Cricetulus griseus: one gene and its partners. The protein of the gene in region 1 purifies or fractionates together with the protein of each later gene. This does not show direct contact. Links are inferred from orthologs where the notes say so. Each region holds a gene or a part of one and is shown on either strand. Other genes may lie near its edges.

Region 1 (4,273 bases):
ACTTGCAGCAGCTCCAACCTTTACCTTATTTTCTGCTAAGCCTAAATTATTGCGTTTCTGCTTATCACCTGTCACTCCAGGAGACAAGATCTGTTTGATTTCACTGCAGCAGCAGCGGGAAGAGCAGCAGCAGCGGGAAGAGCGCCTGGCCCATAGTGGATACTCAACAAATACTGAACCTACTGAACAGCACACCCAACCCCTCCGAATGCTTCAATACACCCACAGGTACCTTGAAGTCAAACTGCACATCCATGTACTTCCCAAACCGGCTGGAGTTATCATTACGGAGGGTCTTGGCATTTCCAAAGGCCTGGGAGTGGATGGGAATGTGAGGAAGCCTGGCATTTTCAGCTTGTCCTGCCCTCTCCTTAAATGCTGCTACCATCCCCTCACCTCCAGCACAGGATTGCTCTGCAGCAGCCGGTCCCGCACTGCACCACCCCTCTCAGGAGCTGGACAGGTCTCTGCATAAAACTGTAGCAGTCTCTTGGTGGCCTCTGTCTTGCCTGCCCCACTCTCCCCAGAAATCATCACTGCCTGGTCCCGCCGCTCAGTACGAAGGGCTCGGTACACAGTATCAGCCACTGCAAACCTGGGGCAGAGGTTTGTCAGGGAGTCCACAGGGTGCGGAAGTCCCACCCATAGCTGATCGGACCATGCTTATAAAATGTGGGGGTGGGGGGAGTGGGGGGTGGGAATTCCTTACAGGGTAGACCTGCACAGCTGAGGATAGGGCCAGGTTCACTCTCACATAGAGGTCTGAAAGGATCACTTCAGGTGGGGTGCTAGCCAGGTGGAACATGTTAAAATAGTTAAAGGAATAAGTCATGGGTGCGACCTGAGGGTCCTGGAGGACAGGATCCAGAGTCTCATCTACTGAGAACTGAGGTAACTCTGGGGTGAACCATCACGGGATTCCTCACAGCTGTGAACAGTGAGTCACCCAAGGCAGGGGTCAGGAATCATGTCAGAGTGGGGGTTGGGTGGGGTCATCTTGCTTGATGCTAGGGGAGGTCATTCCTGGAAAGGTAAGAGAAACACTTACAGATGAGGAGGCACTTCATAGAAGCTGACCCCACGGTAGCGTTCCATATGCTGCCGGCTATAGATCTGTAGGTCTCGGTAGGGGTTGACAGAGACCAGGACAGGGCCGATGTAGGTCTGGGGGACAGAGAAGGGTCAGCAGCTTTTCCTGAAGGCTCCTGGTACTTCCTTCACCCCAGCACCACCCATAGCTCTCACATAAATGAGGTTCTCCCGGAATCGCCGCCGGAGGTTCTCGATGAAGGCAGCCTCACTGGTGAAGTTCTCCAGCAGAACAAAGTCCTGCACCCCAACCCGGTCCCGGGCAGTCAAGGCACTCTCCATGGTCACTCGCACCCCGTCGCTGCCCAGGGCCTGTGGAGAACCAGCCACCAGACAAAGTCAGAGTCTGCAGGTTAAAGCAAGGCCACGTCTCCTACCCCGCCTGCAGGATGTGGGAGGCAGAGGCACTTGGACACAGGCTACAGGACATGTTTGGGACATATGGCTGGGTCACACAGGGCACATGGGGCATGCACAAAGTCTCCAGGAGCGCCAGGGACCCAGCAGATGCTGAACAAGTGCATGGAATTCAGAGAGGTGTGGTTTTTTTTATGGAGAAAGGTGGGCCAGGAGAAGGAGTTCTGAGGAATGGCAGAAAGAATGCTGTGTTGACCTTGGACAATTCTCCTTTCTCAGGACTGCTTCCTCCTCACGAAGAGGAGTGAGTTAGTTCAGGTGACCTCAAATCCCTCAGCTATGTATTACAGGTGCTTTGGAGGACAAATGGTTCAGAGTGAATTCTGCAGACAGGGACAGGCCATTTCTCCTGCTCCCACCGACCCCAAATCCCCAGGGATCAAGCAAGAGCTCACCTCCCAGGAGAGGGTTTCTCCATGGGCCACCACCCCAGCTGGATTTGCCACCCACCCCAGAAGGGGGTGGCCTGCCCTCCCTCAGCTGGAGCCACTCCCTCCACTCCAGCTGCTAGGCTACCCAAACAGTTCCTCCACGGTTGAGAAGCCTCAGGAGGTGGGGGGTTGTAACAGGGGAAAACCCAGCTGCCACCCAAGGGTGGGGCAGGTACAAGCATAGCTAGACCCTCATGCCATGTCCAAGGATAAGGTTTCCCTTTAAAGAGGGTCTGCGGGTTCTAGAGGTTGCTAAGGGTCAAGGAAGATATTGGGAGTAGGGGGGCTCACCAAGTCTCCCCTGACCCTAGTTGCCCAGGAGCAAGTCTCTGTTCTTAGGTCACTCCTAAGAGCCTGGGGTCTGCCTCCCTTACACCTGCCCACTACTCACCCACCCACCCCAAAGCTGCTACCAAACACGGCCAGCTGCAGCTACCACCCCCTTGTCACCAGGGGCGACGCGCATGGCCCTGGGTCCGAGCGTGCTGTAGCCTTCTCGGCCTCGGCCTCCTACCCTAGCAACTTTCAGAGACGTTTTCCACCAAAATTCCTGGGCCGCGTCTGCTTCCTGGCCAGCCCAGGAGGCGCTGCAGGCTACCGAGCGACACCCAGGACCCCCACCCCGTCCGCGCCCCTGCTCACCGACGCCCGGTAGCGCATCCTGCCCGACCTGGCGCCCCGCTCCGCTGCCCGCGTTCTTGGTCGGGGCTTGGCCGCGGCGTCAGCGAGGGAGGGGCCGGCCCGGCCCGCCCCCCTCCACACCGCCCCCTCCCCGCAGGCCCCGCGGCTTCTGGGGCTCAGAGCCTCGACCTCGGGGTCCCTCTGCAGCCGGCCTAACCCGGGCTGGGTGGGAGGGGGCGCGGGACCTAAGAGGGGGCGCGCGAGGGGCGGGGCCTCCTGCGTGCCGCGGGCTCCGCCTGAGTCAGGTTTTCCAGGAGGAACGTCGTTAGTTCCAGGGTGGGGCCCGGAACCCGCGCGGCCGCCGCGTCTACACGGCCCCGGAACTCACTTCCGGGCTCGTGTCTACAACACGGGGCCAGGCACCCCGCGAGAGACCAGGGCTGAAGCCCGTGGGTCACCGAGGAAGCAGGATTTCCCTCCCCACCCCCAACCTCGAGTCCCGGGAAAGTTAAAAATAGAATGAAATGTCCAAATACGGCCGGCACGCCTGGACAGGCGGAGCCTCTGTGCGGGACACTGTCCACCCCCACAACACACTCGGGGAGGACCAGCTCCATTCTTTAAATCCCACTACATAGCCCAAGCTGTCCTGGAACTCAAGATCCTCCTGTCTCAGCCTCCTGAGTGCTGAGATTACACACCTGTGCCAGTATGCTCGGGAGAAAAATCTCTCGAAAAGTCTCTTGCTCAGCAAAGAACACAAGCCCTAGGGCCAGGGTTGGCAGCAGGGTGCGTGCCCTCTTTTTACGCAGTATGGTCCCTATAGAGGCCTGAGTTTCCTGGATGGGCAGCCACCTTCTGACTTCCCTGCATTTGCAACCAATACCCTTATGCTCCATCTTGAACATCCTTCTTGTGACTCAGTGCCCCTGGTGCTCCTCTTACCTCTTCCTTTCTGGTCCCTCTAGATTCCCCATTCTCTCTACCCAGGCCATCAGCTGTCTCCCCAGTACAGCTTCCAGCTGGCTCTCTGAAGGCACCAGCCCCTTTTTAGGCCCGAGGTGTTTGTATGAGGTGTAGGGTGGACTCTGGCTCAGTTGCCACCACTTGTGGCATACTCAGATCTAAAGGGGAAAAAAAGGAGCGAGTCCCATAACTTCTTAGGAGATAGACTGTTCCTCTTTAAAATGAGGCTTTTAAAACCTGCCAGAAGAATTGTTGGGTTGCCCGCCCAAGCCGTCACCACCCTCTTCCTCTTTCTCCCAGCCAGGTTCATTCTATACACACGCTTAGAGGTCTAGCCGGGAAAGCCCTCCCCCGCCCCGCGCGCCTCTATCTGTCACTTGCAAAGGGTTCTCAAGTGCCTTATCTGTTTCTCGTCTGATGTTAAGAACCTAAAGCATATAATACCGAGGATACATACAGACTTGTCCTAGGGAGGAAAGGCAGAGTAAGGACCCCAAAGCACCACAGCGCCCCACCCCTTGGACCAGGACTCCCTGGGGAGGAGGTGAGCCTGCGACAGGTGCTGGCTGCAGCCTCGAGGGGAAAGACGGTTCATTACTTCGTGAACAACAGCTCAGCCTGAGCCACAACCCGGGGGTGGGGGAGGCGGGAGGCGTCAGCTGGGAAATGGGGCCCTTTGGAGCGAGCCAGGGAAATGGGTGCCGCAGGTGGAAAATGGGTGAAGACAGGGTAGGGGGAGCGCCCTTGGG
Region 2 (3,970 bases), on another chromosome or scaffold:
AAACACAAGCCTTGATTTGCACGACTTTGCTGTGTTGGTGCAAACATCCTTTGCAGGCTGTAAAGTAGAAGTTTGACTCAGTTGGGGGGCTCAACGGGGATAAACCTCACTATGTTACTCTCCTCAGTGCTACTACGTTAGGTTCAATAAAAGGCCTCTCCCGAGGGGTGTTTCCTGGCCTTTTAGGAACAACAGGAAGAAAGAGGTGGCCTAGAGCCTGCCGTCTGGCTTACTACAAGAGTTCCTGGGAACTTCAAAGCCATAGGCCCCTGGAGCTAAAGCATTTCCTACTTTACCAGGGGCCGAGGAATCCCCACCTACTCCTAGGCGGTGGGAGGGGGGCGGCTGTCAGATGCTGAGGGTTGCGGACGAGGGTGCCAACTTAACAGCTGAGTAAAGTGTGCTAACAGGGGAAGCTCGCGCTTATAGTCGGCAGGACATCGCTCCTCGTGTATGCAGCATCTCAAAGAAGGGAGAACCACGTGTTTAGAGGGGGAAGAAGGCCCAGGCTGAACAATGGAGCCGCTGTGGTGGGACTAAGAGCACTCTGCCCTAATTAATAACCATGGAGCCGCGCGTTGGTGGCGCACGCGTTAATCCCCGCACTAGGGAGGCAGAGGCAGGCGGATCTCTGTGAGTTCGAGGCCAGCCTGGTCTCCAGAGCGAGCGCCAGGACAGGCTCCAAAGCCGCACGGAGAAACCCTGTCTCGAGAAAACCGATGATAACGACAACAACTATGGAAAGCTGCGAAGCCCTCAAACGCACCGTTTATTTTGTTAACGCGCGGGCAGAATGCAAACCTCCATCTCCTAAGTGGCCGCCTTGCCGCCGCCATTTGGGGCAGCTCCGCTCGTTCCCAGCGCAGCCGCGAAGGGCGTGCCCGCCCCCCCACCTCCCCCGGCCCCGGGAGCCTGACTGAGCTCGGCACCCTCAGGTCACCTTGGGTGCCAGGCTAAGGGCGCCGTGAGGACGCGTCCCGCTCGGCACGCAGACTCCGCGGTGCCCGAGGGCAGCCTGCGGGGAAAGGACGAAGGACGCCGCGGTGAGGGGGCGGGGAGGTGCGAGCCCGCGTCGCGCTCCGGTCACCGGCGGCGGCGGCGGCGGAGTCGGAAGACCTTTTCCGAAGGCACCCCCGAGCGGGCGCGGCCGGAGCCTCCAGGACCGCCGGCTTCCGGCTGCCGACTTCCGGTTTCCGGCATCGCGCGCCTGCGCCCTGGCGGCCGGGAAGGCGGCAGGCCGGGGGGGAAAAGCGCCCGGGACCGGAAGTGAAGGCAGGTTCCCGCCTGCGTCCCCGCCGCCGCCGCCATACGCGCTCGCAGTGCTTAGGTAAGCTGGGGCCTTGCGCGCCATCCGCCGCCATCCGCTCCGGCCCCGCCGCGCCCGCGCGCGCGCCCCTGATACCCGTCGCCCGGGCGGCGGCCTGGCCGCTGCGGCTCGGTCGGGCGCGCGGTGCCGTCGTTTTCGTCCCTTTCTGAGCGAACCTCGGTGGGGAGCGGGGAGACGGGGGCGACGATCCAAAATGGAGGCCCGGGCCGCCATTGTGTCCCCCGCTTCCTGGGTGGCCCGTGGGTCCCCTTCCCGCGCGGGCCGCAGCGGCCGGAGGCGGCGCTGGCGGGAGGGCGGGCCCGGCGCGGCCCGCGGCGGGGACGAGCAGCCGCCAGGGCCTCTGCTTGCCCGCTGCGGCGTCGGCGCTCCCGGAATGCTCACCTTCGGGGAGGAGCGAGGCTGGGGCGCGCCAGACGCTGTCAAGGCCGCTTGGCACCAAGTCCCAGCCTGAGGGTTGCATTTCCCCAGCTGAGAGCCTGCGGCTTTGAAAGCCCACCCTTGTGGCGAGCGCCTCGCGCGTGGCCGGGCAGGCATTAAAATGTAACTGTCTGCGCTGCCGGCTTCTGGCGTTGTTTGCCTGCTTTTTGGCCTTGAGCCCCTGGCGCCCCTGCTCCCGCGGTTAGGTGCAGCGGGCCCGCCTCCCCGCCCTCCGTCCTTCAGCTCCTGCTCCCCCAGGACTGGGGTCCCAGGTGAGCGCCTCCAGCGCGGCACGCAGGTGCCGCTGGACAGGGGAGTAAGTAGCAGCCACGTGATGTTTGCAATGGGAAGTGAGCGCTCCGCGCAGTGCTGACCTTCATCTATCACCCTTGACTGATGGCTGCTGGGGGGACCAACACCGTGGGGCCACAGGGAGAGCGCAGTCTGAGGTCCCCTCCTGTCCCACGCATTGTCACCCTCCCGCGGGTGGCTTCGGGCTCATCTTTTCACGGTCTCGGGAGTTGCTCCTCTTGGGTCAAAGTGCGAGCCCAAGTCTGTCCAGCAGTCACACCCGAGACCACTCTCCATTTTTTCTCGCCCGGTGTTCGTTTTCTCTTACTTTTCTTCCAGGGCAGAGGTTTGTAGTTGAGGGAGAACACGAAGAAAGTGAGGGTGGGCGAGAAGTCCCTACGTGACTGATGAGCTCTTCTTTTTTTTTTTTTTTTTGTTCTCTCTCCCAGCTCTTCTGTCGGGAAACTGGTGTCTCTTCCCTTGCTGTTCCTCAGCCCCCTCTCTCCCCCTTGCTTTCTCACCTTCTCTGGGACCACTCACCCAAAGACCTCCCTTCTCCCCTGCCGGCCCAATTATGGCAGAGAATGATGTGGACAATGAGCTCTTGGACTATGAAGACGACGAGGTGGAGACAGCAGCAGGTGGAGATGGGACGGAAGCTCCTGCCAAGAAAGACGTGAAGGGCTCCTACGTCTCCATCCACAGCTCCGGCTTTCGAGACTTCCTGCTCAAGCCAGAGTTGCTCCGGGCCATCGTGGACTGTGGCTTTGAGCATCCATCAGAGGGTACATTTTATTGTTGGGCATAGGGACCTCATGATGCATCTTAAAGATGGGATTTGTGTTTAGGGTATATAGGCCAGGCAATGAGAATGTACCCAGATGTTAGCGCTAGAAGATGCTTGTTAGCTTTGATCACACAGGATGCTGTTTGTCCTGTGCCCAGGTTTTCTTGTTTGCTTGATCGTCTTTCTGACTGTTTGGCTGGAGTTTTACATCCAGTATTTTGGGCCAGGCCACCTGGGGTCTTAATGATTGCTCTAAAGTTGCTGGCTTCTGGGGCAAGTACCAAGTCCTTCATTTTGTCCAAGGTTATAGAATGCCAGGCACATGGAAGGTAAGCTGTTGGTAGGTGCAAGAGGGTTTGCGCCAGGGAAACCTGAAGCTAGGATGCAGTTGAGACTTGATTTGGGTGTAAATGTGACTAAGGGGACAGAGAGGATGGGTCAGTCTGAAAAGTGACAGGGACCAGGCAAAATCTGGAGAATCAACTCGAGGAAAGGGGTTTGGTATGGTGCATAAAGTCTCTCTCTTTCTCCCCTTTTTCCTTCTAGTCCAGCATGAATGCATCCCACAGGCCATTCTGGGGATGGATGTCCTGTGCCAGGCCAAGTCAGGCATGGGGAAGACAGCAGTGTTTGTCCTGGCCACACTGCAGCAGCTGGAGCCAATCACTGGGCAGGTGTGTTTGAGGCAGTGCTGCAGAGGGCTTTGAGGCCGATACACTGAAGGCTGTTTGTGGCTACATAATGCTTACAGCAGCAAGGCTTACTGTTTTAAACCTCAGATTTGATGTCACAAATAACTTGACAGATGCTGCTGTTGACAGTCACTCTGGAGAGAGGGTGACAAAGGACTGATAGGGTGTTGTCTCCATTTGTTCCCTTGAAGGTGTCTGTGCTGGTGATGTGTCACACTAGGGAGTTGGCTTTTCAGATCAGCAAGGAATACGAGCGCTTCTCAAAGTACATGCCGAATGTCAAGGTAAGGGTGAGGCGCTTGGGACAGCGGAGGTCCTGGGAGCTTGTGGGGTAACAGTTGACTGTCCTGAGGCATGGAGCCGCTGTAATTGATGAGTTCCTGAAGGCTGCATAGGAGCCTTTAGTACAGTGACAGGCTCTTCTGATCCACAAAGTCAGTTCAGGGGCCCTGGGCT
Region 3 (4,114 bases), on another chromosome or scaffold:
TAGGCAAAACACTCATGCACATAAAATACATAAATCTTTAAAAAGATTAATTCAATTTAAATCAAAAGAGGAGTTGGGGCATGGTGGTACAAGACTACAATCCTAGCAACCAGAAACCCCTCACTTGGGAGGCTAAAGCAGAGTTAAAGAACTCAAGGACAACATGGGCTGTGTCACAGACACTACAGCTCAGTAGTACAGCTAGCACTTAAGTTAGCACATGCAAGGCCTTGGTTTCCATCCCTGGTATCACAATTCCTTGTTCTTCCCTTAATTTATTTACAATGACATGGCTGAAGGAGCACTAGATTGCAATCCCAACTCTCATCATTTACACTCAGAGTGCATGACCTTTAACACACCAACTTCAATTCTCTCAGGCCCACTCAGCAAGCAGACAGGAGACCTAGACACCTCTAAGACTCATTTCAGCTCAGAGACGATACGGCATACCTGATCAAAAATACCTACATGGAGGCCAGGCATCAGCAGTGTACTCCTTTAATCCCAAAACTTAGGAGGTAGAGACAGGCAGATCTATGTGAGTTTAAGGCCACTCTGGTCCACATAATGAGTTCCAGACCTGACAGGGCTATACTGTGAGAGAAAGAAAAAGAAAAAGAGAAAAAAAATAAAAAGCCTACACCGGCTATAGTCAACAGTGAGGTTAAGTGCAGAGAATCTGGGTTCAATTCCCAGCATCTACATGTCAGCTCACAATCATCTGTAACTCCAGTTCCAGTGGATCCAATCCTCTCTTTTGACCTCCCGAGAGGAACCAGAAACACAAATGGTACACAGATACACATACAGACAAAACATCCATACAGATAAAATTAAGGTGAACACTATGATTCAGAACTGATGCTAACTAAAATGAAGGTGTCCTGGCTGCTGTTGGGGTTAAGGGTTATAAGCCCAGCTTTGGGGGGGGTGATCACCTGAACCAAAAAGTTCAAAGCCAGCCTCAGTAATTTTAATGATGCCCTGACTTAAAATAAAGACAGAGGGCTATGGATGTAGGTGCAAGGCCCTAGGTGCAATCCCCCAATATGGAGGAGTGGAAGGGGAGTGAAATTATCCTAATGATTCAAAACACTACGTTAAAGCCAAGATGAAGCTGAGCAGGTGGACATCAGCAATCCCCACACTTGGGAGGTTGAGGGAGGGGAACTGGGCATTCAAGGTCAAGCTTCCAAAACATAAGTTAGAAGTCATCCCAAGCTACAAGAAAATTAAATGTGAATGAAGCAAGGGCCAAGAGTAAATTGAAATAGTTCACCAGAACCCTTTCTGATCTACAGGTACAGCAGAAATCACAACAAAGGTCTAGTCTTTTCAAAGGAAACGGGATGATAAAAGTAGCAGTACATGTAAGTTTGATACGGAAACCTTTCTTTTTTAAAAAACAAGCTGACAGGCGGTGGTGGCAGGTGGATCTCAGTGAGTTCAAGAACAGCCTGGTCTACAGGGCAAGTTCCAGGGCAGCCAGGGGTGTTAGACAGAGAAACCCTCTCTCAAAACAAAACAAAGAATAAGCCTTAAAAGATTCATCGGACATTTCCCCCACCCTGCAAAAAAGAGATACGACTTTTAATTAACAGGCTATGCTTGGTGAAGAAATCATAGCAAAGATTAGAAATGCAGAGACTTCCTAATTTAAAGCATCAGTTTCACATTCCTAAAACAAAAACGTTAAGGATGTCTCAGTATTTTTCCTACTTTTAACTGTACTGATTGATGGCACAGGCTTGTAAGGTTGACCAGGCTGAGTGAGGCAGGATTACTTCGAGCTATGCAATTGGTTCAAAGAGAGAGTGAGCATCGTAAGAAATTGTCTCAATCAATCAATCAATGAGTAAGTGAATAAATAGATTAGAAAAAGAAGGAAAGAAAGCAAGACAGCTGGAGAGGAGGGAGGAGGAAGCCGGAGGATCAGGAATGCAGGTCCAGTCTAGACTGTATACCGAGTTCGAGGCCAGTCTAATCTACACAAAGCATTCTATCAAAAAAGAAAAATGAAACTTCTAAATTTCAAACCTGTTTGTTCTCTGGAAAAGAAAAGGGCACCAGTACCATCAAGGTACCTTTCAGCTCCCTCCCACATTCAGTGGGTGAGAAGTTAATGCCAGGTTTTGTGATTTACGGTTCTGTCAGTTTATCCCTGGCCTAAAGTCCACTCCGCAGGGGAAAAACAAAACCCACAACCCTCACCGGTATGCCCGCACAGCGCAGACAAGACGCAGTGGAGGCTTGTGCAAGCCGGATCACGCGGCCGCGCCGGTACAATTTCAAAAACTTAACTTGACGGTTTCATTTATATGAGAGGAGAGAAATAAAATGCGCGTCGGAAACCCGGCTTCCCTCCCCTAGTCACTGAGGGCCCGAGGCCAAGTTGGGGAGGAGGGAATTGGAGCTGCGATCGTCACCGCGGCCCCGGGGACAAAGTAAGAGGGAAAGGATGGAGGCGCGCGGTTCCGGGAAGGACGGCTGCAGACGGCCGGGGCCGGGTGGGTTCCGGCGCGCACATCGCGGCCCGGAGAGACAGGGCCCGGGCACCGCGGCCCGCGGATGGCCCGGTGCCGTGACAGCTGCCCCGGAGCCGCGCGCGGCCCGTCCGCATCTCGCCATCCCCATCGCTCGCCCTGCGCAGCCGCGGCCGGGCGTCCACACGGCGCGGAGGAAAAGGATACTCCCGGGTGCGGAAGGCCTCCTGAGTGTGCGGGATGGTGAAGAGCGGCTCCTCTCCCGGCAGCGGCTTCACCAGCGGGAAGGGCTTGCGGCCCAGCAGCGGCGCCATCGCGGCGGCGGCGGCGGCGGCGGGGACGGAGCGCCGGAGGCTTGGCCGCTCCGCCGCGCAGAGCTAGGCCCCGGCGGCTCCGAGCGGGCGAGCGAGCAGGCGGGCGAGCAAAGCGCCTGGCTCCCGGGGCGATGGGGGAGGGGAGGGGTGAGAGGGCGGCGCGAACTCCGGCTTCCCTCAGAGCTGGCGGGACCGCGCCACGGCCATGGGAGCCAGAGGGACGACGCGAGGGGAGGAAACCGAGAGGTTCTCCTCGCTCCTTCCGGCGGCTTTCACCTCACGCCGATCTCCGCCGCGGCGGCCTCTAGTCACGACTCCTCTCTAGCGGGCACGGGAGGAAATTATTGAAAAATGGCGGGAGATTCCCTTCCTCCCCCCGCTGCCGGGCCAGCGCACACACTAACTTGCTCCTCCGTGGCGCCCTGGGACGGACGCTCCCACAGGCGGAGGGCTGGTCGCCGTTCACAGCCTATTGGCTCAGAGCGGCTGCCGCTCCGCGCCCCGGGCCCGCCCCCCGGGCCCCAGCCGTGTAGTTTGGTTGCGGCGCACTAGAGGGCAGTCTGGAGAGGTGAAAGGTCACGTTATGTAAGAGCCCGTGACTGGCGTGCCCGCCTCCAGTGGCGGACTTAAAAAGTAATGGCACAGTGAGGAAGGGGGGAGGACGAAGGTGGAGGACTCCAAGAAGTCAGAGCAGAAAGCCCTGTCACAGACACAGACATTGCGCCATCTGTCACCGACGGCGACACCGACATCCGGGCACCCACTGTCCGTGTGGCGCGCCGGAAGGGGGAGGGGGAGCGCGCGGCCAGGGGCTTTGTCTTTCCACTCGAGCTCCGCCCCCTTCTTAAAGGGGCCGTGCTCGGCCACGCCCGGGAAAACGCGGGTGGAGCTGTGCTGGGCGGGAAGTAACTGAGGCCCTCCCCAAACGTTAGGCTTTAGGGCGACTGGGAGCCCAATCTCGCTCAACCATCGATGTTGTCGCGAAACGGGTGTTAGCAGTTGGCCTGTTTCTAAGGAATTACAGGCAAGGGTAATGTAGAAGTTTCTTTTAAAATGTGTGCAAGAAGGGGCTGGAGAGATGGTTCAGCAGTTAAGAGCACTGGCTGCTCTTGCAGAGGACCCGGGTTTGATTCCCAGAACCCACATGGTAGCTCACAACTGTCTGTAACTCCAGCTCCAAGAGATCTGACACCTTCACGGTAATGCACATAAAATAAATGAGTTAAATAAATTAAAAAAAAGAAAAATTAAAGAACGTTAGTTGGGAGGGGAGGAGGGGAAGGAGTGGGAGCTAGGATTGACATGTAAAATAAT
Region 4 (4,269 bases), on another chromosome or scaffold:
TTTGAGGCCAGCCTGGTCTCCAGAGCAAGTGCCAAGATAGGCTTCAAAGCTACACAGAGAAACCCTGTCTCGAAAAACAAAACAAAACAAAACAAAACAAAAAAAAAATGCATTCGTCCTGACATTTAAATGCTACAAGGAAATACAAAACCTCCAACCTAGTTTAACTTACAAAATCCCTGTCAGCACACATTAGAGGTAAAGCACACCCTACAATAATATGTGCTTTCCAACTGCAGACATTACTTTCATAATTTAGTGTCTTCTTTTTCTAACTGCAAAAACTACTTAAGGTCATCAGATACATTAGGCAAGTGTCCAAAACTCAAACTTAATTCTAATTCTACATTCAGCTAACACAGTGGAAAGCAGACTGAAGGTAATAGTCTTAAAAAGACAATAAAATTAACTACAACATTAATAGAAAAGAAAATGAGTGAATACGACTGAGAAAAACAAACTATTGATATTTTTCAATATGTAAAATCGTCAAACTTAAAAAAATGACAGGCCAAGATGTGTGGAAAAGGCTTATTATGGAAACAGATCACACTTCTGTCACATGCTCTATCCAGAAGACGCAGTTTTCTCCTCTGATGAACGAAAATACCACTTATTTCATATCGTAGGTGTTATCTTATTCATGCCTATATTTAAATTTTAATTGAAAGACAGAAACTCAAAAATTAATTTCATTTGGGTTTTAAGTTCTCTTTAGGACTTGTAAATAGAAATGACACCTATTGTGGAAATGTGTGACTCAAGTTACCGCAGAGCAGAATCTGCAAAGCTTAGGCAAGCAAGTGCATCTCTCTGGGGTGAATTGTACATTTACAAATAATTTCCTTCAATGTTTTTGGTGTCCAGACTTCAAGCAGAAATCCAACAATCCAGTTAAACAACTCTACAAGTTCAAAAGACCACTTAAAATCTTATTTAAGGGGCATAAATACATTTTTTGTTTTTGTAGATAGGGTTTCTCTTTGTAGCCCTGGCTGTACTGGAATTCACTCTGTAAACCGGGCTGGCCTCGAACTCAGAAATCCGCTCGCCTCTGCCTTCGGAGTGCTGGGATCAAAGGTGTGCCCACCACTGCCTGGCATCAAATACATTTTAAAATGAAACTTCACTTCAAATTGATGCACTACACTAACACCCCCCACACACACTAAAAGTGATTTCAAAGACTAGCAACACATTATTTCATCCAAGTGATGCAACTGCACCATCATTTCCTTATAGTGTAAATTCTGCAGCAAGGTTCATCTTTAGAGTATTATTCCAATATAAGTGCAGAAATTCTCAGACTGAACTATAGAACAGCACAAAACAAGTCCAAGGCCAAGAATAAAAACTAGAAGCAGTATCTTTGTTCCCAGGCAACTCAAAGCCTGGGAGCATATCCAAGAGACCTGTCTGGCAACTCCCCCATTTTTCCACCCTCTCCCCCATTTCCAGCATTGTCATCATCATCTGGCCCACTCGAGTCCCAGATGGTGGTTCAACGGCGAATTGTCTGAATGGCTTTAACAGGAGGTAATTCGCTGGGCTAGTAGCCCACCGCCCTCCCCCGATGCTCCCATTCATTCATTCATCCGTCCGTCCACCAACCCCTAATTAGATGGGGATCCGGGACAGGTGCTGCGGCTGTCACGCTGGCTCGCTCGCTCGCTCTCCTCCCGGTAGAGCGGGGCTCGGGAGGGGCCTCCCCTTGCTGCAGAGGCAGCTGCGCCCCGCTCATCCCCACTGCGCATTCGGCCCTCCAGCTCTCGCCATTGTTTCTGCCCACGACAGACAGATGCCGCCCCCGCCAGCACCGGGATGGGGCACTGGAGGCCCAAAGTCCCCGGCTGCGTGCGACGCTGACAAACGTCGCGCTCGCCCCGTGAATTCCACGGCGAAGGGGCCAGCTCCCTCGCCCTTCCCCAAAGTTTAGTGCAAACTAAAACCCAGATCCGGGGGAAACAGAGCCCTTCTGAGGGCGTCTAACGCTGGGGGAAACCGGGTCCCTCGACCACGGTAATCAGGAACATGTGTTTCCTAAGAGCGGTCGGCGAGCCGCCTAGGCTACTACGCGGAGGGAAACGCAGAGGTGAGGGAGGCAGACTCAGCGCCAGCGAGCGGGCAAGCGAGCATCCATCTCCCTCCCTCCTTCCCTCCCTGCGCGCACGCCCGCCCGCCGTGCTCACCTCCATGTCGGCGTCCGCGGGGCCCGCGCCCCCCGCACACGATGGAGCCGCAGGCGCCGCCACGGCCTCGGGGCCGCCTTTGTTGCCGCCGCCGCCGCTGCTGCTGCTGCTGCTCCCGCCGGCGCCCGCGGCCGCGGCCTTGGGAGGCGCGCTCTCGGGAGGCGGGGGCGGCGGAGGCTCGGCCGCCGACGACGACGACATGTTCCGGCTGCGTCACCCGCCGCGGCCACGGGCAGGCGCGGCGCGGAGGGAAGCGAAGCGGCCTGGGCCGGCCGGCCTGCCTGCTCGACTCTGGCGCCCGGGCCGACCGAGGAGCGAGCCCCGGCCGGAAGTTCTCACGCGCGGCGGCTCCGCCACCGACCCGAGCCGGCCCTGCCGCGGAGCTCGCCCCGACCTCCTCTTCCGCGGGACCCGGCTCCGCTCCACTCCGCCGGCGTTGACTTCACGGCGGGAATCACGTCGACGAGGGTGGGCGGGGCCAGCGGGGTCACGGAGGTCAGGGAGGGCGGGCTGACTCCGGGGAGACCGAGGGCTGAGGGCAGGGGAAAGGAAAGCGAAAGGTTCTGCGCGGCGTCCGGGCGCCTTCTCCTCGCCCCGCGTAGGTTCTCTTCTCCAACCACCGGGACAGCCGCCTACGCCACCCGCTCTCAACCCTCGCGAGATCGCTAGTCCTCTCCCTCCCCCCACCCTTCAGCGGCCGGATCGCGAGAGCGCATGCGCTTGCTCCTCCTGGGCCCCGCCTCCTCCAGCCCGCCCCCGAACTGCGGGGGGGGGGAGTGGGCGGGGCCTCGAGGAAGCGCGTCGGCGTAGGTTTGCGAAGGTGTGCGTGACGCGAGCTGGGCGCTTCTTAACGGCTCTTCGGCTCTCGCCGCGCCACAGAAGCCGGCCTGGGAGCGGCGCGACAGCCCGGGGACTGGCCTTCACCGTCGCGCCGCCGTCGCTCACGGCCAGACGTCACAGGTTCCCTCCAGTGACGTCGGACGTCCAAGAAAAAAATGCCCGCCCCATCAGCCATCCCACCCTTCCAGAGTTTATGGACTGCGAGCCTGTGAGATCCGGAATGGCAATAGCTGGGGACAAACGATGGCGTGTATTTTTTCCACGAGCATCAAAGAAAAATGTGCGTTTTTGTCTGCTTAAGAAATGTTTGTCAGGGGGCTGGAGAGATGGCTCAGTGGTTAAGAGCATTGGCTGCTCTTCCAGAGAACCTGAGTTCAATTAATTCCCAGCACCCACATGGCAGCTCACAACTGTCTACAACTCCAGTTTCAGGAGATGAACACCAATGCACAAAAAATGAATTTAAATAAATTATTTTTTTAAAAAAGTGTTTGTCAAGTATGTAACGCACGCCTTTAATCCCAGCACTTGGGAGGCAGAGGCAGGTGGATCTCTGAGAGTTTGAGCCCAGCCTGGTGTACAGAACGAGTCCCAGGACAGTCAGGGCTACACAGTGAGGCCTTGTCTCAAAAACTAAAAAAGAAAAAATTCTTAGCCAGGCGGTGGTGACAGAGAAGCCCTGCCTCTAAAAATTATTGGTGTTGCTTCTGCTTAGGCTGTGGTGGAGGCTCTGAGGCCTTGTGTCCTCTCCTGTGTCACCCACCTACTTCCCATTCATGACTTAGTGGCCACCAATATTGAATAAATGAAGTCCTTTCAAGAGTTAACTAAAACATGTTGAATTTCAAATCTCTTGGAATAAATAACATATGTAACACGAATGTTTGAACTAGTCGAATAATTCTCTAATAAAAACTCTCTGGAAGTAAGTGCTTCTGAAAGCTGCAGTTGTAGGTCAGTTGGTGGGATGCTTGCAGAACATACTGCTTGCAAACATCCTGGGCTTGAGCCCCAGCCCATTTTGATCCAGTGTGGTGATGCATGCCCAGAATCCCAACACTTGGGGAAGTGGAGACAGGGGGTCCACAGTTGGCTGCTAGACCAGTCTGGACTAAATGAGATCTTATCTCCAAAAATTTGTAAACAGAAACAAAATATTTCTAGTATATAACAATGCTTACATATCTATATGATTAAATTCAATAATTCTCATAATCCATACTTATTGGCAAAAAGCTTA

What was found. Proteins that work in one complex are often made in the same cells at the same time.
Region 2: the proteins of Myo1c (region 1) and Ddx39b purify together in Homo sapiens (affinity purification with mass spectrometry; 5 studies listed by BioGRID and IntAct, with this or other methods). This does not show direct contact. The link is inferred for Cricetulus griseus from reciprocal best matches to the Homo sapiens genes MYO1C and DDX39B.
Region 3: the proteins of Myo1c (region 1) and Baz1b purify together in Homo sapiens (affinity purification with western blotting; 3 studies listed by BioGRID, with this or other methods). This does not show direct contact. The link is inferred for Cricetulus griseus from reciprocal best matches to the Homo sapiens genes MYO1C and BAZ1B.
Region 4: the proteins of Myo1c (region 1) and Smarca5 purify together in Homo sapiens (affinity purification with western blotting; 3 studies listed by BioGRID, with this or other methods). This does not show direct contact. The link is inferred for Cricetulus griseus from reciprocal best matches to the Homo sapiens genes MYO1C and SMARCA5.

The regions. Positions count from the first base shown.
Region 1 is NC_048600.1:89,118,052-89,122,324, reverse strand, and holds the start of Myo1c (unconventional myosin-Ic), read right to left. Parts: upstream 2,801-4,273; 5' UTR 2,598-2,800; coding exon 2,580-2,597; intron 1,402-2,579; coding exon 1,246-1,401; intron 1,165-1,245; coding exon 1,049-1,164; intron 596-1,048; coding exon 397-595; intron 314-396; coding exon 233-313; intron 1-232.
Region 2 is NW_023276806.1:231,768,495-231,772,464, forward strand, and holds the start of Ddx39b (spliceosome RNA helicase DDX39B), read left to right. Parts: upstream 1-1,170; 5' UTR 1,171-1,327; intron 1,328-1,993; exon of another isoform or gene 1,994-2,016; intron 2,017-2,070; exon of another isoform or gene 2,071-2,146; intron 2,147-2,484; 5' UTR 2,485-2,609; coding exon 2,610-2,820; intron 2,821-3,368; coding exon 3,369-3,496; intron 3,497-3,705; coding exon 3,706-3,798; intron 3,799-3,970. UniProt on the Homo sapiens protein: Involved in nuclear export of spliced and unspliced mRNA. Component of the TREX complex which is thought to couple mRNA transcription, processing and nuclear export, and specifically associates with spliced mRNA and not with unspliced pre-mRNA.
Region 3 is NC_048597.1:114,267,357-114,271,470, reverse strand, and holds the start of Baz1b (tyrosine-protein kinase BAZ1B), read right to left. Parts: upstream 2,801-4,114; coding exon 2,694-2,800; intron 1-2,693. UniProt on the Homo sapiens protein: Atypical tyrosine-protein kinase that plays a central role in chromatin remodeling and acts as a transcription regulator. Involved in DNA damage response by phosphorylating 'Tyr-142' of histone H2AX (H2AXY142ph).
Region 4 is NC_048596.1:156,511,675-156,515,943, forward strand, and holds the start of Smarca5 (SWI/SNF-related matrix-associated actin-dependent regulator of chromatin subfamily A member 5), read right to left. Parts: upstream 2,801-4,269; 5' UTR 2,391-2,800; coding exon 2,190-2,390; intron 1-2,189. UniProt on the Homo sapiens protein: ATPase that possesses intrinsic ATP-dependent nucleosome-remodeling activity.